Elephas maximus indicus: one gene and its partner. The protein of the gene in region 2 purifies or fractionates together with the protein of the main gene of each other region. This does not show direct contact. Links are inferred from orthologs where the notes say so. Each region holds a gene or a part of one and is shown on either strand. Other genes may lie near its edges. The genes, in order: SERPINA1 and DERL1.

What was found.
Region 1: the proteins of DERL1 (region 2) and SERPINA1 purify together in Homo sapiens (affinity purification with western blotting; 4 studies listed by BioGRID). This does not show direct contact. The link is inferred for Elephas maximus indicus from reciprocal best matches to the Homo sapiens genes DERL1 and SERPINA1.

What each region holds. Positions count from the first base shown.
Region 1 is NC_064828.1:107,951,568-107,968,098, forward strand, and holds the start of SERPINA1 (alpha-1-antitrypsin), read right to left. Parts: upstream 6,480-16,531; 5' UTR 6,328-6,479; coding exon 6,143-6,327; intron 3,152-6,142; exon of another isoform or gene 3,128-3,151; intron 1-3,127.
Region 2 is NC_064833.1:19,712,754-19,728,631, reverse strand, and holds the start of DERL1 (derlin-1), read right to left. Parts: upstream 7,811-15,878; 5' UTR 7,573-7,810; coding exon 7,420-7,572; intron 1-7,419. UniProt on the Homo sapiens protein: Functional component of endoplasmic reticulum-associated degradation (ERAD) for misfolded lumenal proteins. Forms homotetramers which encircle a large channel traversing the endoplasmic reticulum (ER) membrane.

The DNA of each region.
Region 1 (16,531 bases), on a different chromosome or scaffold from region 2:
TGTGTCTCTGTTTGGAAAACTTTATATTTATTTCTCCAAGTATTTGTTTATTAGTTATCTAACCCTACACTAAGCAAACCTCAGAATTGCCATCAACATGACTGTACTTCTTAAACATGAGATGCTGTCATGGATTGAATTGTGCCCCCCAAAATGCGTCTCAGCTTGGCGAGGCCATGATTCCCAGTATTATGTGGTCGTCCACCATTTTGTCATCTTCTGTGATTTTCCTATGTGTTGTAAATCCCGCTTCTATGATGTTAATGAGGCTGGATTAGAGGCAGTTATGTTAATGAGGCAGGACTCAATCTGCAAGATTAGCTTGCATCTTGAGTCAATCTCTTCTGAGATATAAAAAGAGAGGGGTGAGCAGAGAGGAGAGAGGCTTCCTGCCACCAAGAAAGATGAACCAGGAGCACAGCACATCCTTTGGACCTGGGTTCCTGTGCTGAGAAGCTCCTAGACCAGGGGAAGATTGATGACAAGTACCTTCCCCTACAGCTGACAGAGAAAGAAAGCCTTCCCCTGAAGCTGGTGCCCTGAATTCAGACTCATAGCTTCCTAGACTGTCAGAGAATAACCTTCAGTCTGTTAAAGCCATCTGCTGGTGTTACAGCACCACTAGACAACTTTCTGTTGTAGCAGTAGTAGATAACTAAAGGACTTCATTTTATTTGGATCCACAATCAATGCCCATGGAAGCAGCAGCCAAGAAATCAAACGATGCATTGCATTGGGCAAATCTGCTGCAAAAGACCTCTTTAAAGTTTTAAAAAAAGCCAAGATGGCACTTTAAGGACTACGGCACGCCTGACCTAAACCATGGTGTTTTCAATAGCCTCATACACATGTGAAAGCTGGACAATGAATAAAAGACTGAAGAAGAATTGATGCCTTTGATTTATGGTGTTGGCAAAGAATACTGAATATACCATGGACTGCCAGAAGAATGAACAAATCTGCCTTAGAATAAGTACAGCCAGAATGTGAGGCTGGCGAGACTCTGTATTACATACTTTGAACTTGTTATCAGGCGGGACCAGCCCCTGGAGAAGAACATCATGCTTGGTAAGGTAGAAGGTCAGAGAAAAAGAGGAAGACCCTCAACGAGATGGATTGATAACAGTGGCTGCAACAATGGGCTCAAGCATAGCAACGATTGTGAGGATGGCTCAGGACTGGGCAGTGTATTGTTCTGTTGTACACAGGGTCACTATGAGTCGGAACCAACATGACGGCACCTAACAACTACAACAGATAACTAAGACTGTTGTCTTATGCTCATTGATTCCTTCAATCTCCCCTCAAAGCTTACTCTGTGAAGTGGGGATTATTATTAGCCCCGTTTTATAGATGGAGAAATTGAGGCATAAAGAGGTCAAAAGAGCTGACTGAAAACCACTGAGCTAGGAGTTTACGGAACCGGGATTTAACCTAGGCATTTGGGTTCCCGAACCTTATTTAGCTACTTTTAACCCTTCTCTGTGCAGTCAGAATTGACTTGACTGCACTGGGTTCTGTGTACAAAGTTGGAGTCCCTGTATAGTACAAACAGTTAAAGTTCTGGGATGCTAACTGAAAGGTTGGAGGTTCAAGTACACTCTCTTAGAGGTGCCTCGGAGGAAAGACCTGGAGATCTAACTCCAAAAAGCTAGCCATTGAAAACTCTATGGCACACAGTTCTACTCCGACACACTTGGGGTTGCCATGAGTTGGAATCCACCCCACAGCAACCGGAAATCTTTATGTGCAAAGCTGAAGCAAAGGGCCTTGAAACAGGAAAACCTCCGAGGTGGTCCCTCTAAATGAAGGGAGGCAGCATTGCTTAGTGGCTGAGATCAGAGGCTCTGACAGTGGATTGCCTGAGTTCAACTGGCTATTAGCTATGTGACCTTGGACAAGTCCCTCAACCTCTCTGAACCTCCGCTTCCTGGTCTGTGAAGCGGAGACGGTAAGAGTACGCCCCCCTCACAGGCTGGTTGTGCAGTTTAAATACGCACTGAGAGCTGAGAAGTGCCAGGCACTCAGGAGGCCCTCAAGAAGCCTTGGGTGTTGCCGTGGACCTTTCCCAGGCGTTATAGGGGAGCCTGGCCTGCCTGGCCTTGGTCATCTTTGTAGCCCAACTCCAAAAACCAACGGCAGAAAAATCAAATCCTTTCAACACTCAGAGATCAGGGCCAAGTGAGGGCAGAGGTGTAGGGGAGGGAGGGCAAAGGTTATCTACGTTTTGTACAAGAGGACAGGGCGGTTGAGCAACTGTCAAAGGTCACTGAGCATTGGAGAGGCCCCAGGGATAGACGAGGCTCTGGTTCCCCAGCTTGTGCCTGAGAAGCATGCTGGCAGTGCGGCCGGGTCAGGAGCTAGGCGGCCTGAGTTTGAATCCCAAACAGGGTGTGATTTGAGGCAAGTTCTTAACCTCCCTGTCCTCAATTTCCTCATCCATAAAGTGGGAATAATCACAGTAGCCACTTCAGAGGGTTGTTGTGAGGATAAAATTGGCTAATTTTTGCACCGAGCTCAGCAGCTGCCAGACCCAGAATAAGCACTCAGAAAGGTTAGCTGGAGTCCTGACGATGGCATCCCGTGCCAATGTTCCCGTGCCTGAGGGGTGCCCAGCGGCCCCCGTGCCTGGGGGAGACCCATACCGATGCCTGCAGGCCCAGGCTAGCGCAGTACTGTTTCTCAGGCATGTCTGGAGATGATGGAGACCTGGATGACAGGTAGGCTCCTGGCCCAGGTCCCTAGTGACCTGGGCTCAGCACTGCCCCTCTCTGCACCTTAGCGCCTCATCTGTAGAAGAGGAGGAGGATGGTGGCCAAGCACTGGGAGGCTGAGAGGCTAAAAGGAGGTAACCCTGAAAGGCGCCGGAGCTGTGCAGACAAACGCCTGCTCTCACTGTCATTGCCGCTGTAGCTTGGCCCTCGCCCTTCCTGGGGTCCCCAGACAGCGGAGCCAGCACCCACTTCCACATCTGCCTGCTCATTCACTGGTAGGTATGGGGGAGCCCCCCCAGGGCTGCTATTGCTATGGCGACAGGGGGCCTAGACCCAGCCAGCTCCATCCTCCTGGGGCCTCTGGCTATCCCCTCACCCGCCTGGAGGCTCTCCCCATTAGAAGGCATACTCACGACTCACTGTCCCAGGGCCAGGTGTTGACCAAGGCTGAGGAGACAGAGCCCTGTGCTCGTCTGTATTTAAGCAGTGGGCGCTGAGGGGCAAGTGGGGGGAGGCTGCTAGTGATTATTAACCAAGGTCACCACAGTTATCAGAGGAGCAAACAGGGACAAAGTCCGTTGGCCAGGCACCGAGGCACATGGGCTCAACCTGGGCAGTGCACAGCCCTCCACTTCACACACCACAGAGGATCATTGTTCTCAGCTCATAAACCAGCTGTGTCTGAGGTGGGGTGGGATGAGTCAGGGACTCCTGGGACAGCACCGCTCTGCCAGCCCCACGCCCCCGCTCTGAATCCTGGTGGCTGCCCTGTCCTCGGAGAGCAGGAGCTGCCATTTAGCCAGCCACCTCCAAACGCCTGGGGCTGAAGATTCACTGCTGCCCTGGGTGTCAGAGCATGTTATTAGCCCATTTGACAGATGGGGAAACTGAGACCCAGAGAGGAGAGGCCACTCATCCAAAGTCACCAAGCCAGCGTCAGATACAAAGAGGCTCGCGATTTCCCTGAGGAGAGGGTGGGGCAGGTCTGCAGGACAGGGCTGACAGGGCCACATCAGTCTGACGTGGGGTACCCGTGGGCACAGCCAGGGGTCTCAGAGTGTATCTGCAAAGATAGCCTGGCTTTGGGGTGAGGCTGATCCTGGTCAACTCTTGCCTGGATTTGCCACCGAAGAGCTGTGTGGCCTCAGGCAAGCTGCTTCACCTCTCTGATCCTGGGGGTGTTTTCATCTGCCTCATGCATTATCTGCCTCCTGGTTGGCACTCCCACCTCCTAGCGTTGTTGCCAGGACCACACAAAGCAGCTTATATAAAGTCCCTGACACACAGTAGGCTCTTTATCTCCAGGCTGCTCTGAGCAGAAGGAGGCCCAATTCAAGGCAGACCAACGTGACCCACAGACGAAAAATACCCGGTTGCCGTCGAGTTGATTCCGACTCATGGCGACCCCGTGCTTGCAGAGTAGAACTGGTCCATAGGGTTTTGAAAAATGTGACCTTTTAGAAGCAGATCACCAGGGCTGTCTTCCAAGGCCCCTCTAGGTGGGTTGGAACCATCAATTTTTTGGTTAATAGTCAAGCTCTTAACTGTTTGTGCCACCCAGAGACTGCTCCCATTTCCTTGGGAATGTGGCTCAGCCCTGGGGCTATTGCAGGCCCTTGGGTGCCCTATGGTGGTTGGGAGAGTGTTAGGGGGTAAGACCGGAAGGACCCCAGCCCCAGTCTCAGCTCCACTTGCTTGTAATCCCTTGAAAAACCTAAGTCAGATCACATCGCACCTTGTGCAAACGCTTCATGGCTCCTGTCTTGCACAGAGAAAAAAGCCCAAGTCCTTCCCAGTGGCCCACACCTCCAGGAGCCCCCTTCCTCTCCGACTCACCTCCTGGCACCCTCTCCCATGCTCACTCTGCTCCAGCCATGCCAGCCTCCTTGCTGTCCCTGGAGCCTCTCAGGCCTGCTCCAGCCTCAGAGCATTTTCACTGGCTGTTCCCCTTGCCTGCACACTTTTCCCCCACTTCTTTCAGGCCTCTGCTCAAACCTGCACTCAAACCTCCCCCGGTCACAAAGGTTTTTCCCTTTGAATAAGCCAGCACCCATCACCCCACACCCCCACTCTGCCCCCCTCCCTTTGCGCTTGCACCGTGGAGACACTTGAGGACCCCTCGACACTCGTGGCTGATCTCTGTACACACGCTCCGCGCGGGAGCTGCTCTGCTCTGTCCGTGTGCACCTGAGTCTGGCACCGTGGCACTAAGCACACTAAGCAGACATTTGCTGAGCTAATGGATGACTGTGTCATTGTTCCTTCTCTCCTTCCCTCAGTCTCCACTTTGCCTTCCCCTTGGGGTTCTGTCTCTAGCAAAAACATTCAGACCAGGGAGTCAGAGCCAGGTTGGCAGGGTTTGAATGCTGAGCCCCTGGGGGCTAAGCTATGTGGGTTGAAGCCTTAACTCCACCCCTCCCTTTTTGAGTGGTCACAGATAAGCCGCTGGGCCTCTCTGTGCTTGTTTCCTCATCTGTAAAATGGGGATATGGTTCCGCTGGTTGTGAGACCTGAAGTACATTGTTTAACCTTCCCATGCCTCAGTTTCCCCATCTGTAGAATGGGAACCAGGACAGTGTCTACCTGACTGGGCAGTGTGAGGATTAAATGTAGCCATTCAAGCTGAGCCCGGGGCCAAGTGTCACATGTGCACAATAGGCCTTCTCTGATGCTGACCAGGGCTCCCACTTAATCCTTGCCCAGTGTGGAGGGTCTCCCTGCTGCCTTACCCACAAACCCTGCTGCTGGTGCTCAGGGAAGGCCTCAAGGTGACCGGTGGGGTGGGGGCATCGGAGTGGCTTATAGGGTGGGGCCCTCAGAGTAGCTGGTGAAGTCGGGAGCCTCAGGACGACTGGTGGGGTGAGGGGCCTCAGGGTGACTGGTGGGGTGGGGGACATCGGGGTGGTTGGTGGGATGGGGGGCATTGGGGTGACTGGTGGGGTGGGACGTCTCGAGGTGGTCGTGGGGTGGAGAGTCTTGGGGTTGACTAGAGGTGGGGGACATTCTAAGAACTTTCTTCCAGGAAGCTGGACCCCATGCCAGGCATTCTCTCATTCAGTACTCACAGTACCCCTGGAGGTGGTGTGTACCCCTGCCTTTACAGAAGTGGGAAACTGAGGTTCAGAGAGGCAAGGACCCCCCAGCTTTGTCACCTGGCTTCAGTGTTTCTGCTGTCCCCTGATCTAGCCAAGTGGGCATCCCCCCAGGATTTTATATCCCGTCACATCTTGGAGAGATGTGCCTTCAATACCTTCTTGGTAAGCTTCTGCCCCTCTGTGGGCCTCAGTTTCCCCATCTGTACAACCTCGAAGCCCAGCTGCCCCTCCCAACTCTTGTATTGGATGGGCAATGGTCTCTTGGCAGGCACCCCCCCCCGCGCCCTTCCCCAGGGGGCCTGGGGACTGGCTAGAGGGTACCACCCCCTGTACCTTGAATTCCTGGCGGGCATGACGCGCCTCCTGCAGTGGTCCAATCCCTCTTCCTCCACAGCTGGTGTGGGGAAGTCGTGAGTGTCTGCTGGCCAGGAGGAAGGAGGCTGCGGTGGCAGTGGAGGCCACGGGTCTGGGAGGGTGGAGGCACAGGGGCAGGATGCTGCCTTGCACAAAGCTGTCATTGCCAGGTGGATGCCAGACCCACCCTTCTCAGCCTGGGCAGGCCTGCGCGTTATCAGCTGCCCTGTTGGTCCAGCATTGTGGCCCAGGAAGACTTACCGGCTGGTCTGGGCCTCTGTAAGAGGGCTGACCACACCCGCTCGGGATTAATGGAGATGACAGGCATCACCCTCCTGGCTCAGGGCCTAGAACAGGGTATCTGGCAGGTGCCTGGGTCAGCTGCAGAGGGAAGAGGGCGGAGGCACCCCTGAAATGCTCATGGGAGCCCCCTGGAGGCTGTGATGGGTGTGTGGCAGGGGAGAGGAGTGTATCACAGAGCCTGGCAGGAGCAGGAGAGATGGCAGATGGGGGGACATTTACAGAAGGAATGAGGAAAGAGCAGGGGAGAGTGAGGGGTCCCGGGCTGTATCCCCAGCGCTTCCTCATCTCCCCATCCTCACTCCCACTCTCCCCCTAGTGTTTTATGCTGCAGAAGTGACTCTGGGTACCCATCCTGAGAAGAAGGAGTGGGGTGATTTGGGAAAATGAACAAGGACAGAGTACACGGAGGCGTTAGTGGCCAATACCGAAGGACACTGTACCCCGTGACCCAGAGGCCATGGGGCAGGGGGTGGGGGAGAGAATCTTGTTCTCTGGGTCCCTTCTGGAATTGCCTGTGGCATCGCCTGGGTGGGTTCCCCGGGCACGACCGCACCACGGGAAATCGTGTGGATAGGTTGGAGACGGATATTTGGGGAGACTCTGCCCCTCCGTAAAAACATAAAAAGCAAAACAAAACCAGTTGCTGTCGAGTCTGTTCTGACTTGCGGCGACCCCACGCACGTCAGAGCAGAGGTCAGAGCAGACGTGCGCTCCGTGGGGTTGTCAGTGACTCCGGGCGGCCCCACGCACATCAGAGCAGAGGTCAGAGCAGACGTGCGCTCCGTGGGGTTTTCAGTGACTCACGACGGCCCCACGCACGTCAGAGCAGAGGTCAGAGCAGACGTGCGCTCCGTGGGGTTGTCAGTGACTCGGGGCAGCCCCACGCATGTCAGAGCAGAGGTCAGAGCAGACGTGCGCTCCGTGGGGTTTTCAATGACTCACGGCGACCCCACGCATGTCAGAGCAGAGGTGCGCTCCTTAGGGGTTTTCAATGGCTGATTTTCCAGAAGTATATCACCTTTTTTTATATCACCAGGCCGTTCTTCCTAGGCACCTCTGGATAGATTCAAACACTAACCTTTCAGTTTATAGTTGAGCGCTTTACTATTTACACCAAGCAGGGTCTCCAGTAGGGCCCTGCAAAGGAATGGGAGCCCCACTGTGTAGGATAGGGAGAGGCCTGAGAGCTGAGATGCCGAGTCTCCAACAAGGAGGAAAGTGAGGAGTGGAGTGTGCTGAAGAAGGGTCCTGGGCCAAGTAGACCAAGGACCAAGGATCGTCGATTGCTCAGGAGTCCCCTGGATTTCAGGGGAGCTGAACCCATTTGCAGGAAAGTGTGGAAACCAGCCTGTACTGCCCCCCCACCCAACACACACACACACACCACATGCCCTCCCTCTCAGATTTCCTTCCCGTTTCCAGGGTCTGTTAAGCACAGACTCAGGGGCTAAGCTATCAAGCCTTAACTCCACCCCTTTCTTTTTGCATGATCTTAGACAAGCCTTGTAATCTCTCTGTGCCTCAGTTTCCTCATCTGTAAAATGGGCATATGAACTGTCACTCACTTCCACGAGGGTTATATAACATGTAAGCCCTTAGGGCAGTCTTGGCACATGGCCCCAAGTTAATGCCAACTGCTGTTATGGTCTATGGGAATGTACCCTGGTCTGGAAAAGATTTCAGGTGGATCCCAGAGGCCTGAGAGTGGGAGAAAGACCCCTGCCTTTGGTCCCCATTTGGGAGCATCTCTCTTAGACCAGGGATGCCTCCTCAGATTCAGGCTTCCACTTATCTGAGAAGGCCACCCATCCTTTCTCCAGGGGCCTGTGTTCATGTTGCTTCCTGGAGATGCAACTAGCGTCTACCTGAGCACCTGTGAGGTGCAATGTAGCCAGGTGGGCCTGGGGCAGCGGAAGCCGGGCAGCCTGGGACTCACTGGGGGAAGGGCTTTGCTTCGCCTTGCTGAGCCCCAGCATCCTCATCTGTAAGATGGGGACAATAAGAGTCTCTTTCTCACAGGTGGCTTTAAGGTGCTGCCTGTGTGTATTTAACAATTGTGCCGGCATGGTTGACACGTGGCTGCCTTCTCAGAACGCACTTTAATTACTAGGGCTATTACCAGGGATGGAGAGCGTTTGCACACTTGGTTCGCCTCCTCCTGGCACTCTTGTGAACCTGCCAACTTGCAACATCCAGGCGGACCCTGGTCCTTCCTGTGTTCAACCTCCAGCGCTGCTTCCTATACTTGGTACAATTTCTGAACTTTCTGAAACTATCCGACAAATTCAGAGTTCCTTGTTTTCATTCCTCAGCCTACGCAGATAGAGAAAAATAAAGATATCGGTGCGTTGTAAGGGACAATATAGTTAATAGAAGGAATAAAACGTACATTTATAGTTTCATCCCCCACTCAGTAAAATAAATAAAATAAGCATTCTATTATAACTAACCTTTCCTGCACTGTAATTTGGAAAGCAGGAGAATGAATAAGGAAGACCAAAGAAGAGTTGACGCCTTTGAATTGTGGTGATGGTGAAGAATACTGAATATACCATGGACTGCCAGAAGAATAAACAAATCTGTCTTGGAAGAAGTACAACCAGAATGCTCCTTAGAAACAAGGATGGCGAGACTGTCTTACATACTTTGAACACGTTATCAGGAGGGATCAGTCCCTGGAGAAGGACAGTATGCTTGATAAAGTAGAGGGTCAGTGAAAAATAGGAAGACCCTCAACCAGATGGATTGACACAGTGGATTCAACAATGGGCTCGAGCATAACAATGATCAGGAAGATGGCACAGGACCAGGCAGTGTTTGGTTCTGTTGTACACAGGGTCGCTATGAGTTGGAACTGACTCAGTGCACCTAAGTACAATAAAACACTGTAATTTTACCCTTTGAGTGCCATTATGGACTCGCAGCTTTTAGGAGACTCAACCTGTCCTGTTTAACTGTCATGATCATTTCCCTTCTGGTGTTCCCCGTTTCATATTTCGGCCAGTAGGAGCCCCTTTAATTTTTCTCTGTTCTCCTTTCAGCAGGCTCTTTGTACGACGTTCTGGAGCATACATGCGGGCTTTGTAGTCAGGGCACCATGTCCCAGCCCATCCTCACCGTTCCCGGCCCCTGGACATTGAGTGTTGTCCTTGACCCTCTCTGGGGCACCCTGTTGGAAGGGAAGAGGGAGGGGTGGCACAGGCAGGGCTGGGTGACAGGACTCACCCCCGAGGGGAACATGGAGACCCAGCAGGACATTGAGACTTGTTTTTCAGAGGCACATGTCCTGTGTGGGCGGCTCAGATAACAGGGAGCGATAGGGCGTCTAGAACTTGCCTCACGACCTTGGGTTGAAGCGGTTCAGTCCCCGTTGTTGACTTCCCTTCATGTTGACTTTAAGCATTTCTGTTTGCTCACATTTTATAATACAAATCCCCAAAGTGTTCCCGTGTGCGGTCTATCATCACCTGCATCACAGCTGATGCTTCTCAGGTGCTTATTACCTGCTGGGCTCTGTTCTAGATGCTTTATGTGTATTCACGTGCAATCCCCTGCGGTGGGCGCCATTATTCTCCCCTTAGTGTGGATGGGGAAACTGAGGCACAGACCGCTACCACAGTGCTGAAAATGCAGCCAACCTGCCTCCCTCCTGCCTTCCCTTCCTTCCTACATGTCCTTCCTTCCTACATCTATAATCAGCTCATAGGGCTGTCTTCCTTACATTCACCCATCTATTAGTGTACCTGCTCATTTATTCATTCACTCTCTAAATATCATGTGTTGCTCTCCTGTTGGGTGCCAGCAACTGCACTAGGCTCTGGGTTTGCAAAGGTGAGAAGACATGGTCCCCACTGTCTGGAACTCACGCTCTGGTGAGGGCCAAGCCGGGGAACATGGAGGCTCTTCCAGAAATCCGGGGAGGGAGGAGACGTGGATATGAGAGATGAACAGGAGGCAGGGGCAGAAAGATGGATGACAGGTCGGAGGGCTGACATATGGGGTGAGAGCCAGGAAGGTGTTGGGGCTGGAATCAGATCTCTGAACTCCCTGTTCAGGTCTCTTTCTGTCCATCCTTCCCACCTCCTTGGATAGGATCTCTTTCCAACCCCTCACCACCCCCTATGCCAGGAAGGAATAAACTCTCTGAAGGCAGGTCCACAGCTGGCTGGCAGCATCTGAGATGATGAAATGCCGGATGGGGGGTTGCATAACATCTTTCCTGTTGCTGCTCCTTGTCGCCCCTCTCTGTTCTGGGGCTCAGGCCCCTGTCACCCCTTGTTCCTCCTCCTGTGTACTCACAGATAGTGAGCCCCGACTCCCCCAGAGAAGCTTGCTTCTCCTCGAGTCCTCTCCAGTGGGGGTTGTTTGCTCTCCAACATTCCCTGGACTCATTTACTGTTGAGATCTCTTTCTGCCAACCCTCCCTGCTCCGTTGGATAGGGACTCTCTTCACATGTCCCCATGCCAGGAACAAGCAAATGGCACCATTCCCTGGGTGCAAGAGCAGGTCTGATTCTCCCGGCCTCCCTGCTGGCTCCCAACCTCTCCTCTTCCTGCAGTTACACAGCCTCCCTGGATGGCCCCATGCTCTCCCAACCTCTCCTCTTCCTGCAGTTACACAGCCTCCCTGGATGGCCCCATGCTCTCCCAACCTCACCCCTGACATCCACAGGCCTGTGCATCACACCCTGTGGTTGTTGGTGACCTCATGTACAGCAGAACAAAATGTTGCTCAGTCCTGAGGGTCTCATTTTCCAGCACTCCATCAGACAATGTTCTATTGTGATCTGAAGGGTTCTCATGGGCTGATTTTTCGAAGCAGGTTGCGAGGCCTTACTTCCTAGTCTGTCTTAGTCTGGAAGTTCCATTGAAACATGTCCATCATGGTAACTTGGCTGGTATTTGAAATACCTGGGCATGGCTTTCAGCATCACAGCAACACACAAACCACCACAGTGGGACAAACTGACAGACAGGTGGTGGGATCACCCCCAGCATCACTGGACATGGGCACCTGGGCCCGGCCTGGTCTTCTCTGGCATCACTCAGTGTCCTCATGGGTGCCCCTCTAAGCCCCTGGCCTCTTGCCTTCTGTCCATCTCATTTCCAAGATTTGTTTCTTACTCTTCCCCACCACAGACGGTCATGGCTGCACCTTGGCCTTCAATCTGAGACCTCTAATATCAACTCTTTATCTAAAATCACATCTTGGTTGCTCCCTCCCACGTGCCCTTGGCCCTTCTGGGGCCGTAGTAGACAGATGGAAATGGTGTGGAGTGACCAGCTTAAATCTCATGGTCCATCCCTTCGGCCACTCTCCTGGCAATACCTTTTTGGTAGCCACAATAATGTCCCCATTATATGAAGATGTTCACATACTAATTCCTGGGACCTGTGAATGTCTTACCTTACATGGCAAGATGGGCTTTGTAGATGTGATAACTTTTAGGATCTTGAAATGGGGAGACTAGCCTGGATTATCCAGGCGTGTCCAATGTAATCACAAGGCTGCTTATACAGGAGACGGAAGGGCCAGAGTCAGAGAAGAAATGCAAGGACAGACGCAGGCATCAGAGTCATTCAGGAAGGGGTCATGAGCCAAGGAACACAGATGGCCTCTGGAAGCTGGAAGAATGAAGGACATTGACTCGCACCTAAAGCCTTCAGAAAGAATGAGTCTTTCCAACACTTTGAGTTCAGATTTCTGACCCTCAGGACTGTAAGAGAATAAACTTGTGTTGTTTTAAGCAACTAATTTTGTGGTGCTTGTTACAGTAGCAAGAGGAAACTAATACAATCCTTGACTCGCTTTCGTTTTTCCTTTGTGCCCACCCAGCAAAACTCTAACTTAGGCCGGCCTAACCACTCTCCATGCCCTGCTGCAGTGCAATGAATTGCTTAATATGGCCCTTTTAGCCATAGTCTTTGTGACTTACACACAGTGATTGAATGGGACTATGCAAATAAGGTGTATGGAACCCTGACAAAGGGATTGGTCAGTTTACCCATCCCACTAGGCTTACAATGAGCCATCGCAGAGGCAGGAGGAGTGGATCTCACTACCACCAAGAAAGAAAAGCTAGGAGTGGAGCATGTCCCAAAGGATCCAGGATCCCTGTGCTGAGAAGCTCCTGGAACCAGGAGACCAAGACAGGGAGAGCTGTAACGCCAAAGGCAGTGAGAAGCAGCAGCAGAGAAATGGTGGTGAGGCAGGAGATGGGCAGTAACTGGCAGCAGACAGAGCATTGGGCTTCCTGGCCCATGGAGCAAGAAGGCTGAGTGCCTTCAGGCAGAAGCCTTGCTGGCAGAGTAGGGCGTCTCCAGGCACTTGGTGGAGCTAGGTTTGCCTACCCATGGAGCTAGAGCTGGGTACCTTCTGGCTGAGGGTTCCTGGCAGGGTGGGATGCCTCTGGGCACTGAGTGGCAGAGCTAAAAGAGCTTTGTAACACTTGGCCGAGCAAGGCAGAGGCCTAGGGTCAGAGAGGCGTGCCTGCGGGCATGGCTGAGAAGAGGCCGTCCTGATGGAAGACTGTATCCTGAGTGTTCCTGAACCTGAATTATGACCTGTTACTTCCCTAATAAACCTCATAATGTTGAGTATTGTCTGTGAGTTCTGTGTGGCCATTGCAATGAATTATCGAACCCAGCAGAGAAGCAGAGAGTGCCGTGGGAGGGACGGTTGGTGTCAGAATTGGTAAAGATGGCAGAGAGAGGAGGCGCGTCTGACTTCCGCCTCATAGGAATCTGCCTTGGGCTGTTGATCTTGATTCTCCTTCCCCCTTGTGAACGGAGAGGAGGTCAGAGGCCTCTCCACGCAATTTTTTTTTTTTTTATTGTGCATTAAGTGAAAGTTTACAGTTCAGTTTCTCATACAAAAATTTGTACATTGATATTATGTGACCCTAGTTGCTCTCCCTATAATGTGACAGCACCTTCCTCCTTTTCACCCCAGATTTCCCATGTGCTTTCAACTAGCTCCTGTCCCTGTTTTGGGTTCTCATCTCATCTCCAGACAGGAGCTGCCCATTTAGTCTCATGTATCTACTTGAGCTAAGAAGCACTCTCTTCACAAGCATCATTTTATGTCTTACAGTCCAGTCTAATCTTTGTCTGAAGAGTTGACTTCGAGAATGGCTTCAGCTTTGGGCTAACAGGGAGTCCAGAGGCCATGTCTTCCGGGGTTCCTCCAGTCTCAGTCAGACCATTAAGTCTGGTCTTTTTACTAGAATTTGAGTTCTGCACCTCACTTTTCTCCTGCTCCATCAGGGACTCTGTTGTGTTTCCTGTCTGGGCTCTGCCACACCATTTTGACACCCACCTTCGCTGGCACAGATGAAACCCTGGTGGTGTAGTAGTTAAGAGCTATGGCTGCTAACCAAAAGGCTGGCAGTTCAAGTCCACCAGGCACTCCTTGGAAACTCTACGGGCGGTTCTACTCTGTACTATAGGTAGCTATGAGTTGAAATCTGCTCGGCGGCAACGGGTTTGTTTTTTTTTGTTTTCCCTGGCACGGGAGGAGCGCTACTGGAGAAAGCCAGCTTGAGCCTCCTCACTGGCTTTCTGTCGCTCTCAGACTGAAGTCTCAGCTGCTTAGCCTGACACTGAAAGTTTTCTGTGGCCCCCCTCAGGCTCATCCCGACTGTGTCTCCACACACCTCACCCAGAGGCTGACAAACCGCAGGCAAGCCCACCCCGGGCTCCCACCACCACTCAAAATCCAGCCCCCTCACCCCGTCCCGAGGAGACAAGAGGAATGCATCACTGGAGGACTGCAGGGTGGGGGCTGGAGCTGCCGGTGGTGATGAAATTCATCCCTCCCACCCAAGGACAGGGATTGCATCAGCTCCCCTGCTCCCTCCTTCCACCCTCCCGCGGCCACCTCTGGGGCTCTGTCTGGGAGTGCAGGCGCCTCTCGGCAAGGCCCCCCAGCCAGGACGTGACACAGAGACCGCTTCCCAACGTCCCACTGCTCACTACACAATTCCAGCAAAACCCATCCAATTTTCTGATGGGCTCCTGGGGGCCAGGCGCTCTATATACAGAAACTGGAATCTTCCGAACAACTCTGCAAGACAGGCTTTATTATTTCCATTTTGCAGGCGAGGGTCAGAGGAAAAACATAAGATGACTCTTTCTATAAACCTTTCTCGAATCCTCCTGCCTCTCCGCACCACCACTGGCCTGGCTACCAGTCGTCATCTCTTTCCCTGCCTCCGTTTTGTGTTTCTTTTTACAGAGGTATTATTTACATACCATAAGACGTTTTCACCTTTGTGTACGTTTGTGCGACCACCACCCCAATCAAGCTAGAAAGCTTGGCCATCAAGCTAGGAAATTCCCCTGTGCCTTTTCTAGTCAAGTCACCCCGAAGGTAACTTCCATTCTGGCTTCTGGCCCCAGAGACTAGTTGTACCTCTTTTAGAACATCAGGTAAATATAATCATATGCTGGGTACTTTTTGTGTCTAGATATGTATCTAGATTCTTTCAACACTGTGTTTTTGGGATTCAGCCACATTGTTGTATACCTCAGCAATCGGTTCCTGCTTATAGCTGAAAGCTATTCCATGGTAGGAACCTACATTTAGTCTATTTATCTGCTGATGGACATCTGGGTTCTTTCCTATTTTAATTCTGACTAAAGCTTCCATGAGCATTAATGTATCACCCTTAGTGTGGGTGTGTTTGCATTTGTCCTGAGTGGAATGACTAGGTAGAGGAGAGGTGAGTGCTAAACTTTCAAGAAACTTCGCTCTCTCCTCTCCACCTTCCCCTGCTGACTATGGAGGTTTTGCGGAATAGAGTGGAGATGCTGTCAGAAACACATAGTTCAAACCCCCGATCTGCCATTACCTGCTGAGAACTTGGAGCTAGTGACTTACGGTACTCTCTCTGTGGAATGGGTTGGTAGTTCTGAGATCATGGGGTTCCAGTGAAGATAACAGGAGATATCACTCGTGAAATACTGGGCTCAATAAATATTATTTCCCTTTTCTTTCACTCCTGGGATCGTGTGGCTGTTTATTTTTAAGGCAGGCAAGTAGAAATTAAATAATTCAGTGAAATGGTTAGGGACAAAAAACAAGATTGCTCTAGAATTTAGTCAGAGATCAACGATTTCCATTCTACTTAAATGGGTTTGCAGTGCCTCTTAGTCATTGCTCCACCTTGCAGGGTGTTGGGAAAGCAGAGCAAACATCAGCTAGGTCAATACCGCCTTCTGCGGCGAAGGTCTGGGCAGAACAAACAGTGAGGACATGTACTTTCTGGGGCTTCCTCTGCCCCCTTCCCGCTAACTCTGTCCTCCCCTGGGGTGAAATGGGAAGTAGGCAGGACAAACCCAAAACCCAAGTCAGCCAGGAAAAACCCAAAAACCAAACCCTTTGCCAACAAGTTAATTCCAAATCATGGCAACCCCGTGTATTACAGGGAAGAACTGCTCCATAGGGTTTTCTTGGTGGTAATCGTTAGGGAAGCAGATCGCCAGGCCTTTTTTAGGTGGTGCCACTGGGTGGGTTTGAACCACCAACCTTTAGGTTAGTAGTTGGGCACAACTTGATTGTGCCACCCAGCGACTTGGGTTCTTTGAAATGACTCAGGCCCAAGTACTGGAAGGTGTGTAGATGGGATTAGGGGGTCAAGGTTGCCTCCTGGAAAAGTACCCTCCTTCCGTGGCTGGGGCCATTCAAGTTCACCAGGGAGGGTGCAACCATTCAGAGGGTTGAAGACAAAAGTTCACACACACATATGCATGTTAGCCCTCCCACATGAGGCATTTGGCGTTCACCTTCATTGTGTAAGGGGGTCACCTTCATTGTATAAGGGGGTCGTCTTCTTTTTGTAAAGAGCTCTGGACATAACGATGGTTCTGACATTGCCTGGTTCAGATGGACTATGCAAGATCATAGGATTTGGGGATAGTCTGAGCTGGGCTCAGTTCACTGTGGACAAGTTACTTAACCCCTCACAGTTTCAATGTCCTTGTTCATAAATGGTTAACGCTCTGGCTGCTAACCGAAAGGTTGGCGTTTCAAGTCCACCCAGAGGTGCCTCAGAAGAATGGCCT
Region 2 (15,878 bases):
AGAGCTGTATTAAACTCATGGAGCATCATATGAATCAATGGAATCTTACAACAGAATTAATATGGTATTTTATCCCCATTTTTCAGGTGAAAAAATTGAGGCTTGGAAAGGATAAATAACTTGCCTTAGGGCACACAAGGAGCCCTGGTGGCGCAGTGGTTAAAGTGCTTGGCTGCTAACCAAAAGGTCAGCAGTTTGAACCCACCAGCCGCTCCAAAGGAGAAAGATGTGGCAGTCTGCTTCCCTAAAGATTTACAGCCTTATAACAGATACATGAGGAAATGCTCACGATCATTAGCCATTAGAGAAATGCAAATCTAAACTGCAATGAGATACCATCTCACCCCAACAAGGGTAGCGTTAATTCAAAAAAACACAAAACAATAAATGTTGTCGAGGTTGTGGAGAGGCTGGAACACTTATACACTGCTGGTGGGAAAGTATAGTGGTACAACCACTTTGGAAATCGATTTGGCACCTCCTTAAAAAAGCTAGAAATAGAACTACCACACGATGCAGCAATCCCACTCCCTGGAATATATCCTAGAGAAATAAGAGCCCTCACATGAATACATATATGCACACCCATGTTCACTGCTGCACTGTCCACAATAGCAAAAAGATGGAAATAACCTATACATCGATCAACAAACAGATAAATTATGGTATAGTCACACAATGGAATACTGCACAATGATGAACAACAACGATGAATCCATGAAACACCTCATAACATGGATGAATTAGGAAGGCATTATGCTGAGTGAAATTAGTCAGTCACAAAAGAACAAATATTATATGAGACCACTATTGTAAGAACTCAAGAAAAGGTTTAAACAACAAAAGAAAACATTCTTTGATGGTCATGAGGGTGGGGAGGGAGGGAGAAGGGCATTCACTAACTAGATAGTAGACAAGAATCACCTTAGGTGAAGGGAAGGACAACACATCATACAGGGGAAGTCAGCAGCACTGGGCTAAATCCAAAGCTAAGAAATTTCCTCAATACAACAAAACACTTAGAGGGACGAGTAGCTGGGGAGGGGTCTGCAGACTATGGTTTTGGGGGACATTTAGGTCAAATGGCATAACAAAGTTTATTAAGAAAATGTTCTGCATCTCACTTTGGTGAGTGGTGTCTAGCGTCTTAAAAGCTAGCAAGCAGCCATCTAAGATGCATCAATTGGTCCCAATGTACCTGGAGCAATGGAGAATGAAGAAAGCCAAAGACACAAGGAAAATATTAGCCCAAGAGACAAAAGAGGCTACATAAATCAGAGACTCCATGAGCCTGAGACCAGAAGAACTAGATGGTATCTGTCTACCACCAAGGATTACCCTGACAGGGAATACAACAGATAGTCCCTGAAAGAAGAGAAAACTGAGGTGCAGAACTCAAATTCTACTAAAAAGACTAGACTTAATGATCTGACTGAGACTGAAGAACCCCAGAAGACAAGGCCCCCAGACTCTCTGTTAACGCAGAACAAAAACCATTTCTGAAGCCAACTCTTCAAAGAATAGACAGGAGTATAAGACACAAAATGATACTCATAACGAGTGTGCTTCTTAGTTCAAGTAGATACATGAGACTAAATGAGAAGCTCCTGTCTGGAGGTGAGATGTGAAGGCAGAAAGAGATAGGAGCTGGGCAAATGGAGACGGGAAATCCAGGGTGGAAAGGAGGAATGTGCAATCACATTATAGGAATAGCAACCAGGCCTACATAACAATGTGTGTATAAATTTTTGTATGAGAAACTAACTTCAGCAGTAAACTTTCACCTAAAGCACGATAAGAAAAAGAAAAAGAAAAGATTCACAGCCTTAGAAACTCTATGGGGCAGTTCTACTCTGTCCTACAGGGTCACTATGAATAGGGATCAACTCAACAGCAGTGGGTTTTTGGTTTTTAAGGGCACATAACTAGCTGAAGGCTCAGCCAGGCCTTGAGATCATGGCTCAATTACCTGAAAACTCACAGCCTGTCTAACAGAAAAGGAAAAGTAATTTCCTATGACTGATCTGGAAGAAATCATCTTCAAAACTGTTCTACCGTACACTTAGCTATGTGGTTTGGTATATATTATGCAAATGCGTTAAACAAGATAGCCTAGAACTAGCCTCGTCTCACTGAAATAGAAACTGAAACTGCAGCTGTCTATAAAGTAGGGTAACATCTACCTAGGATGTTTGTGAGAGCTGAATGAGGTAAGACACGGAGAAGCACAATACAGATGTACAGGGCGACGTTATTTTGTTCAAAGAAATGAAGAAATATTGCCAGGTAGGCAATAACCTGGGAGACATAACTCCAGAAGATAGTAAGTAGCAGGAAACTGCCGCCTTTCTACTAGTTCATCAGGGACCACTATGAAGACATTTCATCACTGTGAACTACTTAACTGATGGGTTTAAGTCTGAGGGATTAGGAAGAGAGAAAAAGAAATTCTGGACAGTGGTGTAGTGAGTCTTAACATACGCCTAGATGTTCTGGCTTATCCAAACTAAGGAAAGCACATTTTAAACTCTGGAGTTCCAAACCAGTAAGTGACTCACAGGGAAGCTATAAATAAGGTGGAAAAATTACATCTGTCACTTCTAACACAAATCTACAATTCTAAATCAACCCAACCATCACAATTTTTTTTTTTTTTTTTTTAAGTGCAAGAAGGTCTATAAAGATTCCAAGGTCTTTATTAAAGATTCAGCTTCTAAAGAAAAAATAAGCCTCTGGCAGAAATGCTGCTAAAGCCCAACACAGCTTGTCTTTGCCTGTCAGCCTCTCTCAGATACAGTCTTTCCTCAACTGCTTCATTAGCAAAGAGTCCCTTCAGGTGGATCCGAAAGCTAAACGTGTCTGGCATAGGTAGGAGCCAGAGGAGCAAGAGGAAGACACACGGTATATCAGGGCTTTGAACCCTGTTCGGTTCGTTCTGGATAGAACCCCACTGATAATTTGCATTTCTAACAGGTTCCCAGGCTGCTGGTTAGGAACTAACTCCGAGAACCACTAGTACAGCAGAGGTTCCGAAAATTTGTTACAGATAAGAATCACCTAGGGAATCTTAATATCGATTTTGATTCAGTATATCAGGGATGGAAATGCAAATTCTCAGCAGGGGTTCAAACTGGAAACCCTGGTAAAAGATAGTGTCTTTTCGTACCTGGGCAGTCAGTGCACTGCTCCTGCCTCCTGCCAGCAGCTTCAGTCTCAAGATAACAAGGCCAGAAGAAACAGTGCAAGGAGGGCAGAAAAATCCCGGCAGGGTGACATGAATGATGACTCTTTCTAAAGATAATGAGTCAGTTGACCCCCTTTGACACTATGCATCTGCCCCCTATCAGAAAGGCTTTCTTCTGTTACTTATTTTAGTAAATGGACTACACAAGTGAGCAAGATTTTGCAAGGAGGGTCAAACAGCCAAGTTTTGACCAGGTCCTTCTCACAAAACAATTTATCATTGCTCCCCGTGACACACATTACCCAACATGTCACCAGGCACAAAGTACAAAACTTTCACTCAGTCAACAAGTATTTACTAAAGCAAATCACAGGAGAAAATTCTGCAGTGCGATTCTGGCTGCCACCCAGAATCACGTTCTTATATCCAAGCGCCTACAAGCACCTCAGAGACCAAAGTTTCCTAGTGGTTACTAGGGGTGGGAGGGTGGGGTGGAGGGGGGAGCCACTGCTTACGGGGCACCAAGTTTCTGTTAAGGATGACGGAATAATCTGGGAACAAACAGTGGTGATGGTTCTGTCTACTCTAATTTCCTACGACTGATTTGGAAGAAATCATCTTCAAAAATGTCCTACTGCACACTTAGCTATGTGGTTTGGTAGCTACTACGCAAAGGAGTTAAGCAAGATAGCCTAGAACCATCTCTGACGTACCGAAATAGAAACTGAAAGAGCAGCTGTCTATAAAACAGGGTAACACAACATGATGAATGTAATCCATGTCACTGAATTGAACATGGAAAAAAGGTTGAATTGGCGAATGTTTTGTTATATTATTTTTACTACAATAAAACGAACACAACTACATCTCAGAGTTAACACGCCTAAAACCTAACTCTTTGTCCACACCTCTCCCCAAACCTAAGGGTTCCTAAACATTCCCAATCTCAGGAAATGGCTACACCATTCACTCAGCTACTTCTGTATAAACACTTAATGACATCTGCGAATCCTGTTTCCTTCACCCTTTTACCCTTCATATCCAATCCAGCGAGCAATCTTGTCCACTCCGACTCCCAAATCTATCCACTTCTATGGTCCAAACCACCATCTCTCTTGCCTACTAACTTAATTCATCTCTGATTCCATTACCTAGCTGTCCTCCTCACATACAAACCATGGTGGGCTACTATCCCCGCTTTCACCCTGTCCCCCTACACACCACATCCATCCCACAGAGTACTCAAGGTCTTGTCAGTCCTTTCTTCAAAAGGCTGCAAAGGCTTCCCAGTGTCCTGAAAATAAAGTTCTAAACCCTTAACACAGCCTCCACCACCCGTGTGTCAGTTTGTGGTACTGTGGTGGCTTGTACGCTGCTATGACACTGGAAGTTAGGCCACCAGTATTTCAAATACCAGCAGGGTCACCCATGATGGCATGTTTCAGTAGAGCTTCCAGACTGAGACAGACTAGGAAGAGAGGCCTGGTGATCTACTTTTGAATATTAATCAATGAAAACCCTATGGATCACAACAGAATATTGCCAATATAGTGCTGGAAGATAGGCGCTGGAAGGCCCTCAAAATACACAGTGGCCGTAACAATGGACTCGAGCATACCAACCATCATGAAGATGATGCAGGACTCAGTATCCTTTCATTCTCTTGTACTTGAGGTGGAGCCGGCTCCACGGCAACCGACGATAACAACAACAAGGCCGCAAAGCTCCACATGATCTGGCCCCAGACTAACTTTCTGTCTTCACTTCACTGCATTCACCTCTGACTATCTCCCTGTCCTTATCTCCCACTCCTCATTTCTACAGTATCTGCACTGGCTACAGTCTTTCTGTTCATTGTTCCTGCCCCTAAGCCTTTCACAGGCTTCTTCCTGCAAGGTTGTCCCCAGAGCCAAATTTTTCCAAGGCTGCCTCATGTCATTCAAGTTTCAGTTTAAATATCTTCTCTAAGGCCTTTCTGGACCACCCTATTAAATATTACACCCTTTAAGTCACCCCCTATCACATGCCTCACTCTTATTTTCTTCACGGGAGCTGGGACCTTTCCTATCCTAGTCACTATTGTATCCCCAGTGGCCAGCACATAGCAGATGACCAATTATTTCCATGCATTCAACCAGTAGCACCTGCTATGTGCCAGGCACTATTTTAGGTGACAAAGACAGTGGTAAACAAGACAAAGATCTGGCTCGCATGGAGCCTTCTTCTCTTAGGGAAAGCACACCGATAAATACCAATGGTGATATATAGCAAGAAAAATTAAGAGTAAGGTAGATAGAGTGAAGGAGGGGTGCTATTTTCTGTAGGACAATCAGAGAAGGCATCACCCATAAGTAACATTTGGAAAGAGACCAGAAGTAAGAAGGTAAATGAGTAAACCATGGTTACCTTTCTTTAGGCAGAGAAACATGTGCAAAGGCCCTGAGGAGGGATGGAGTTGGAGCTGAAGGAACAGCAAGGATGTCACTGTAGAAACTGATGTACAAGGTAGAGAGTAGTGGTAGATGAGGTCAGAGAGGCAGTGGGGGGCCTTATAGGCCACTGAAAGGACCTGGATTTCACTCAGAGTTGAGAAGACACTGGAGGGTTCTGAGCAGAGGCTTGGCAGGACTCGATTTATATTTTTAAAGGCTCACTCTAGCAATTTGGAGAAACAATTGAAAGGAACAAAGCTGGAAGATGATAATGGTTTACAATGCAAAGTGAGAAGAGATTGTATTCTGGATATATGTCCAAGGCAGTCAACAGGATTTCCTGACAGACTGTGGAGTAGAAGGGAAAGAAAAATCAGGGGTGATCCCAAAACTGCTATTAGCTTGAGCTCCTGTAATAATGGAGTTGCTATTTACTTCTAGGATGACGGGAGTGGGGGATTCAGTTTTGGACATGTTAAGTTTGAGATGCCTATCAGACACCCAAGTGGTGATTTCAAACAGACGGTTGGAATGTACAAGTCTAGAAATCAGGAGATAGATCTGGGCTGAAGATACTTGTATTGGTATCCAGCAGTCTTCAGTTTACAGACAGCAGCTAAAGACAAGGCTGAACAAGATCACCTAGGGAGAGCGTGTAGAAAAGAGGTCCTATAACTGATCTTTGGGGCACATCACAACATTTAAAGGTTAGGAAGATGAGGAATCAGAAAAAAAGACTTTAAAATAATAGCCAGTGAAGAGAGGGAAGCCAACAGAGTATTACCCACAGGCCAAATAATCAGGGCTTCGAACTGGTTAGCTCTGATCGATCCCTTGCTGAGAATTTGCATTTCCACCCCAGAGATACTGAATGAGAATCCAGATTTCTTAACAAGATCCCCAGGTGATTCTTATGCACAACTTCCTGGGAACTTGTTAGAAATGCAAATTTTCAGCAGGGGTTCAAACCAGAAGCACCGGTTCAAAGCCCTGCAAATTAATTAATTAATGTCAGATCCTGGTACCTGACCTGCCACTAATTAAAATTTAAACCATAGGACCCAGTGAATATAGATAACGCTCAGGCAATGAGCATTCCTTTGCCAAGTAATCACCTTGGACTCCTTCCTTCATATTCAAAGTAACAATAGTACAGTATCTTCCATTTCTGGGGCAATTTACTCTTTACTCATTCCTTCATGCATTTACCTACTACAGACCAGATACTAGGTTAGTGCCTAGGGGAAAACCGCAAGTAAATAAACTCATTCTCTGCACCTCTGACCTTAAATCCCTCCTACAGGAGAGAAAAAACAAACAAACCTCCATTAACGTCAAAAGAGCGCAGCGCAATGTTCGCTAAATTATTTGACACTCACACGTCACCCACATGGTGGCAGAGGGAGGTGAGAGGGCACCTGCTTCAAGTGGACCCAGGCTGCTAGCCACGGCTCTTAAAGGTTCCAACAGCGTCCTATACACTGACAAACATAACTTACTGACTTAACTTGTCACTGCCTCATTCCCTGAGCACAGAGGACGGAAACCACAACTTTAATATAAGGGTGAGATCGGCCCCTTCTCACCTGGGCAAAGCTCACGTCGCCAGCTACTCAGGCCCTGGCTGCCGACCCCTATGCCTCCCGACCCCGACCCCCGAGACCCTCCCTAACCCTCTGGAGCCCTACGCACTACATATCCCACTAAGCACCGCGCTCACGCAACACGCCGGCCAACGCTCCGCCAACGTGGGGCCGCCTGAGACGTGTAGTCTTCACTGCCCACCGTCCGGCCGGTCAGTACCTGGAAGCGATAGAGGAAAGCTTCGGGCCAGAGGAAGAGGTAGGCCGGGCTGATGAGGCCGAGTTTGCCGATTAAGGGCACCGCGACGGTGGCGGCGAACCAGTAGCGTGTGATGGCCGGGATGCTCCTGAACCAGTCCCCGATGTCCGACATCTTCGCTTCTCAGGTCGCCAGGATGAGCACAATCGCCCAACTCCCGGCCTCGGCTTCCTCACGACTCGGCTGGCTCCGCAAGTGGAAGGTGTCGAGGCGGAAGCCACCGAAGCCGCCGTGCAGAAGGCGGGGACCGGCGGACGTGGCGCCACCGAATTCGGACGAGCGAGGGAGCGTTCTCAGGCGACACTTCCTCTTCCGGGGGCCGCGGACGACGTGATGAGAAGTCCTGCCGCTTAAAGGGCAAGCGCCGCTTTTTCAGACGTGGCCAGGCTCGGCGGTCCTGGGAGCGGGCCGAAGGGGGCGGGCCGAAGGGAGCGGGCCGAAGGGGGCGGGCCGAAGGGGGGAGGGGCGGGGCCTCGACGCGACTGGTGGGAAACAGTGGTTGCCAGAAGCAACGGCAAATGCTCCAGCCAATGGCGAAGCCCAGTGGCCCTGACAGTTTTCTCGCCTGAGAGTGGAGTCTACTTGGTAGTGATTTAAACGGGAAGGAGTAAAAGGAAGTAGTTTGTCCCTCATTTGTTCACTCTTCAAAAAATATTTGCTGAGGACCTATTAAGTGCCAGGCAAGGTTCTAGACACTGGGATACTGCGGCTATCAGAGCTGTCCTGGTACCTTCTCTCCTGAAGCTTACATTCCAACGGGGATGGACAGATAATAAACAATAATCGAAAAAAGATAATTTCAGAGAGTAATAAGAAAAATAAAATAGGATGATGAGGTAGAGTGACGGGGTGGAGTTGGTGTGGGAAAGATTGCTACTTTAAGGTGAGAATGGTCAGGGCGAACTTCCCTGAGGAGGTGACATTTAGGCTTAGCCAGTCAGGTGAAGATCCTGGCAAAGAGTTTTCCATGCAGATAAAACAGCCAGTCCAGCTAACTTGGAGTATTGGGAGAACTGAAAGCAGTAATAATCTTGGCAATTAATCTAGTTTCATCAGGCAAGATTTAAATTAAAACCCAGTGCCGTCGAGTCGAATTACAAGCAGATAAAAGTCCACCTCATGCTTTAAAAAAACAATCAGTAAAAAGATATTAAAAGGAACTTTTCCTGTTGTATTCAGATTTAGGGCTTATAGGTGAGAATTCATAAGGCCATCCAATAAAGACTACCAGGAACACGCCTGTAGTCAACAAAGTTAGATTTATTAACTCTCTGCAACAGAGGAGACACTATACCAGAGGAACCTGGGACGTCTCACCAAAGGAGAGTAGGGTTATTATGAGAAAGGGTGGAGTTTAGTGAAATGAAGCAGTGTTTTGATAGGCTCAAAGCAAAGTAGGGCTGTGTGTAAAGGTTTAACATCAGGCTTAGGCCTGAGCTGAGAAACAGAGGCCAGGTCCTCTTTCCTTGGAAACCTCAAAGTTAAGATAAACTTGGAATGTTGGGTCTGAAAACCCCTTATCTAAAGCTTTTCACCTGAATTGAAAATCCTGTGTCAAAGTGACCCGGCATGGCACAGATCCTCAAGGAAAGAGTGCAGGATGTTCCATTCACACAAATGTAATTTCAAACAGCAAAGTTTCTGACAATCTATTATTTTAGAGAACGTCTCTGAGCACCATGTCCTTCATGTTAGTTAACCAAAGAGGTTTTTACAGGATTAAAAAAAAAGCCCAAACCCCTTGCCATCAAGTCTATTCCAACTCATAGCGATCCTCCAGGACAGAGTAGAACTGCCCCATAGAGTTTCCAAGGAGCACCTGGTGGATTTGAACTGCCAACCTTTCGGTTTGCAGGATGAAAAGGCACTAAATACAATTGAATGAGCATATACAGCATTTAGGGACCTACTGAACATCAAGTATATTGAATATATGATGAAACCCCTCACTCATGCATAGATGGTGGGAATGTAAATTGGTACAGCCTTACAGAAGGACAATTTTGGTATAAAAGAAAAACTAGAAGGATGTATAAATAACATAATACTTGGAGATATTTTCTGAGGCTCCTTCTCTGTACCCCACCCCACTCCCACCATTTTCTTGTACCCACTCCTTGTTGTACCCAGAGTACAATAAGGTAAAACAAGGATTATCTAACATAGGTTAATGGCAAAGAAGATTTCTTGGATAAACTCGTAAGTACATGTGCACGGGAAAAAGGCAAAAACAACACACACATCAAATGTCTAGCAGTATTTATTTATAGGTGGTGTGGTTATAAGTGGATTTTTATTTGAATGAGTCTTCCAGAATTCAGCTGCAGGCTTTATAAATACTAAAGTTTAAATCATGACTGCTTACTAGCAATGTGATGTTGGAAAATTAGCCTTTCTGTTCCTTAGTTTCTTCATCTGTAAAATGAGGGAGGGAACTGAAAGGTTGGCAGTTCAAACCCACCAACCACTCCATGAGAGAAAGATGTAGCAGCCTGCTTCCACAAAGATTTACAGTCTTGGAAACCCTATGGGGCAGTTTTACTCTGTCCAAAGGATTGCTAGGAGCCCTGGCGGCGCAGTTGCTAAGAGTTCAGCTGCTAACTAAAAGGGTCACTATGAGTTGGAATTGACTCGACAGCAGTGGGTTTTGTTTGGGCTTTTGTTGTCTGCTTTAATTTTTTTTGTACTATGTATATATGTACTATCCATCACTTGTCTGTCAATTTGTCATACCATGGTAGCTTGTGTGTTGCTATGTGCTGGAAACTGTGCCACCAGTATTTCGAATAGGAGCAAGGTCACCCACAGTGGACAGGTTTCAGTGGAGTTTCTACAGTAAGACTAAGAAGAAAGGACTGGCAATCTACATCCAAATATTAGCCAACAAAAATCTTGTGGATCAGAACATAATATTATCTGACTGGACTCAAACATACCAGTGATCATGAAGATGGCACAGGACCGGGCAACATTTCATTATGTTATATGTAAGGTTGCCATGAGTTGGAGCCAACTTGACAGCAACTAACAACAACAACATATGTACTATGTACATTAATTAAAAATTAATTTTAAAGATATGTAAAAAGGAAGTTTGTTCAGAAAGAGGGAGTTCAGTGTCAGAAACTTCAGAAAGATTGAAAAGGAGAAAAGATGATCTTGATCATGTTCTCCTGCTGTAATTAAAATGTATTTCCTGTTGTTTCCCTGAAAAACAGGGTTTAAAATGAATTGGAGGGATCCCAACAGTCAAAAGAACAATATGGTCCCGTGCTGACGCTTGGCAGGGTGGCTGCTGAGTGATGCTGACAGAGAGCCGATGACTCAAGCATCGTTCTGTCACTATAGTCAGAGGAACACTGTCCTAATGGGATGCCTGCCATGGAAGGGCATCTTTCTTCAAGAAGTTCAAAGCACACTGCAAATATGTAATGAAGTCTCACGCTAGCTACTAGGCAAGTTCATTAGCCCCATCTTGCAGATGAAGCTATGGCAAGAATAATAACTCATCGCTGTCAAACCCGCCAGAACTAGTCTTGTATTTTTAGCCACAAGCCTGGGAAATTTTTCAAATTTTGACTCACTGGGCTAGGAGAGAGGGGTGTGTACTAAACAGCATATAAAGTATTTTCCATTTGTTACTTTTACTACATGTGCGCTCATGCATGCATGTACTACATAAAGATACCCTTCTATATAGTAAGGAATCAGTCTGGATTCCAGTCCTTCCTCTGACGGTTGCTAGTTATGGAACCATGGACAAGTCTCTTTCTCTCAGTTGATCATCCAAATGGGAAAATAGTATCACCTGCCCCTCTTACATGAAGGTTGTTTGTTTGTTTTAATTGAGCATCTACTATTTACCAAGCTCTCAGGAGCCCTGGAAATGCTGGTGGTGTAGTGGTTAAGTGCTACAGCTGCTAACTAAAAGGTCGGCAATTCGAATCCACCAGGTGCTCCTTGGAAACTCTATGGGGCAGTTCTACTCAGTCCTGTAGGGTCACTATGAGTCGGAATCGACTCAATGGCAACAAGTTTGGTTTTTTTGGTTTGAAGGAGCCCTGGTGGTGGTGTTGAAAGGATTGACTGCTAACTGAAAAGTCAACTGTTTGAAATGACTGGTGGCTCCGCGGGAGAAAGATAAGGAAGTCTGCTTCCACAGAGATTTACAGCCTTGGAAACCCTATGGGGCTACTGAGTCGGAACCGACTCAATGGCAATGGGTTTGGTTTTTTGGGTGGTTGTGCTTTACATGCATCATCTTGCTTCACTCTCACACTATTTACACCACAGAATCGCCAAAAGCTACAAATGAGGGCTTGCTTTTTGTTTTTGTTTTTCCAGAGAGCCAGTTGTTAAACATTGATCAGCATACCACTAGTAAGAAGAAATATGGAAGAATAATAAGCTTCCCTTTCTTTTCCGTTGCTGTCCAGTCAGTTCCACTCACAGCAACCCTCTAGGACAGGATAAAATTGTCCCACAGGGCTTCCAAGGCTATAATCTTTACGGAAGCAAGCCCTGGGGCATAGTGGTCAAAGCACTTGACTGATAACCAAAAGGCCAGAAGTAGGAACCCACCAGCTGCTCCACAGAAGAAAGAGGTGCCAGTCTGCTTCCGTAAAGATCAACAGCCTTGAAAACACTATGGGGCAGTTCTTCTCTGTCCTGTAGGGTCACTGAGTTGAATCGACTCGACGGTGGGTTCAGTTTAATCTTTATGGAAGCAGACTGCCACAGCGTTCTCCCATGGAGTGGCTGTTGGGTTTGAACCACCGACCTTTTGGATAGCAGCTCAGTGCTTAACCACTGTACCACCAGGGCTCCTTTAAGCCTCCGTCATCATGCATCTTGTTGGCATCAAGCTGATTCTGACTCATAGCGATCCTATAGGACAGAGTAGAACTGCCCCATGGAGTTTCCAAGGAGCCCCTGGTAGATTCGAACAGCTGACCTTTTGGTTAGCTGCCATAGCACTTAACTACTGCACCACTGTAGAGTGGCTTAAATAATAGTAACAATCAAACCCCAAAAACCAAACCCAGTGCCGTCAAGTCGATTCCGACTCCTAGTGACCTGACCCTATAGGACAGAGTAGAACTGCCCCACAGAGTTTCCAAGGAGCGCCTGGCGAATTCAAATTGCCTTCCCTTTGGTTAGCAGCCATAGCACTAAACTACTACGCCACCAGGGTTTCCTAACAGCTAACATTTATTGAGCACTTCTATGTGGTTGATGCTATTCTAAACTCCTCACAACTCTTCCAAGGCAGCTGCTGTTATTATCCTGATTTTACGGACAAAGAAATAATGGCACAAAAATGTTAAATACTTTGCCCAAGGTTATAGTACTGGTAAGAGGTAGAGCCAATGAACCTAGGCATTCTGGGTCCCCTGCCTTTAAATTATACTGCCCATATTTTCCAAACCACTAGTCAGGGTCCAAGATCTAATAAGTGCAAGCATATTTATGGGGTGAACAGGCAAAACATATGAATATGGGGCTATATGTTCACCATGCCCATAAATTAGAGGTTTCAATTTGATGCAAAATTCAGATAGGACTTCTATAGGGTTTAAAAGCAAAAGCAAGCAAGACTAAAGAATCAACTGTGTAGTAATCCAGTGAAAGGCAGCTAACATATATCTGGTGCTAACATATACCTGGTTCAGATGTCCCATCAGTGTTGGTTCCATTACTCTGCTCCATCCCACAACAAGTGCACACCTATTTTTTTATATAAGAATTTTCTAAAGAGTTAAGCAGATGGCCCCAGCTTCCAAGTGCTGCTTCACTAACAAAAGAAAACACTCTTCTAAGGTCTATAGGTTAAATAGATAATCCCATTGTACCTACCCTATCTTATCTTTCTCTTTCCTCACGTGGAAAACTCCTTGAAGCATTTTTCAAAGCACCCTATGTAACCAAAACAAAATGCTCGGGAAAGATGGTGTTTTACTGCCAAGTAGGAAACGGGAGGGACTAAGAAGCCGGTTGAGATGAGATGAAATTTAGCTGAGAAGGGGTCTGGTAGGCACTGTTTTTGCTGGTCATCTGTGGCCTCTCTCCACACACTGCCCAGATCGGCACCAGAAGGATGCTGCGCTGCTCTAGAATAATGGACAATTAAGCTTAGCTCAGTTTGTCTTCCTCCCTTAAAGCAATTAGCGGCATTTGACCAGCATCCTGTCATGCTTGATTGATAGCCTGTCCTCTGAGCACATAAATGCTATCCCATACCCAAACTCACTGCCATCAAGTCGATTCCAGCTCAGTGACCCTATAGGACGGAGTAAAACTGCTGCATAGGCTTTCCAAGGCTGTATGTAAATCTTTAATGAAGCTGTCTTACGCTGGATTCTCTAGAGAAGCAAAACGAGCAAAGCGTATAAATATATGTAGAGAGAGATTTATATTAAGGAAATGGCTCATGCAGTTGTAGAGGCTGGAGTGTCCCAAGTCCGTGAGCCAGACTGGAGGCTCCTCCTGATTCACATAGCTGCAGAGGCTGCTGAACCCAAGATCTGCAAGTCAGACAGTAGCGTTCAGGCTGACAGGCTTCGAGGACTGACAAATCCCAAGATCCACAGGCAAGATAGCAGATAAGCTGCTAGCTCAAGTCCCAAGAACTGGAGGTCAGACGAACAGGAGCCAGCTGCAGGATCCAGAGCGAGCAAAAGCCAACAAGCCTTGCCAGAAAGTCCACCTACATTGGATGTAGGCCACACCCTGAAGGAAGCTCCTTTTCAACTGATTGGCTACTCGCAGTAGATCCCATCATGGAGGTGATAACATTATATCAAGTCTTATCATGGAAGCGATCACATCATTATACCACTGCCAAACTACATCCTAAGTGCCAAACCACTGAGAATCATGGCCCAGCCAAGTTGACTCACAACCTTAACTATCACAGAAGCAGACCACCACATCTTTCTCCCAGGGAGCAGCTGGTGGATTCGAACTGAAGACCTTTGGTTAGCGGCCAAGCCTTAACCACTGTACCACCAGGGTTCCTTAAATGCTATTCCAAAAAACCAAATCCGTTGCTGTCAAGATGATTCCAACTCATAGCAACCCTATAGCCAAAAAAATAAAATCAAACCCTTTGCCTTCGAGTCGATTCCAACTCACAGCAACCTGAAAGACCAGAGTAGACTTGCTCCATAGGGTTTCTAAGGAGCAGCTGGTGGATTCGAACTGCTGACCTTTGGGTTAGCAGCCAATCTCTTAATCACTGTGCCACCAGGGCTCCAGCGACCCTATAGTAAAAAAAAAAAAAAAAAATTAGGAGTCTATAAATCAGGAATAATTATTCAGTTCTGTGGAAGATATTCTCAACATCCCATGACCCCACAGCCCCTAGCCCAGGGAGGTCTTTGAAATAGGCCATCTTTACAGGATACAATTTTGAAGGTTTTAGCATCTAAATAGAATCTGCTCAACCTGGCTTATACTGTAGGGCCACTATGAGTTGAAATTGACTTGACGGCAAGGGGTTTGGTTTGGTTTTAGAATAATACAATTAGATATGAATTGCTTTGGCATAATATTTGCAAATAATTTTTTTAAATCTTCCCACAATAGGAAAATTATAAATATTGTAATTATAAAATTATGTTACTTCCGTAAAATGGAACCTCATGTATTCGTGGCTGAGCAGAGGTGGTTCTAGCCCGCCCTTGTTTATTAGGAGAGCTTTTACTTGATACCATTGCCACTGAGTCAATGCTGACTCATGGCGACCCCATGTGTGTCAGAGTAGAAGTACACTCCACACGGTTTTCAATGGCTGATGTTTTAGGAATCCATTGCCACTGAGTCAATGCTGACTCATGGCGACCCCATGTGTGTCAGAGTAGAGCTACACTCCACACGGTTTTCAATGGCTGATGTTTTAGGAATACGTTGCCATGATTTTCTTCCAAGACACCTCTGGGAGGACTCAAACCTGTGATCTTTTGGTTAGCATCTTAACTGTTTGCAGCACCCAGGGACTCCTTGGACTTGATTAAAAAAAAAAAAAATCCTTTGCCATCGAGTCTATTCTGAGTCATGGTCACCCCATGTGTTTTAGAGTAGAACTGCTCCATAGGGTTTCTTAGCTGTAATCTTTATGGAAGCAAATCACCAGGCCTTTCTTCCATGGGCCCACTGGGTGAGTATAAACCGCCAACCTTTTAGGTTAGTAGGTGAACACAAACCATCTGTGCCACGTGTGGTTGTTCTTAGGTGCCGCTGAATCAGTTCCAACTCAAAGCAACCCTATGCGCAACAGAACGAAACACTGCCCAGTCCTGCACAATTCTCAAAATTGTTGTTACGCTTGAGCCAATTGTTGCAGCTATGTCAATCCATCCCATTGAGGGCCTTCCTCTTTTTCACTGACCCTCTACTTTTTTTTTTTTTTTTCTACTTTA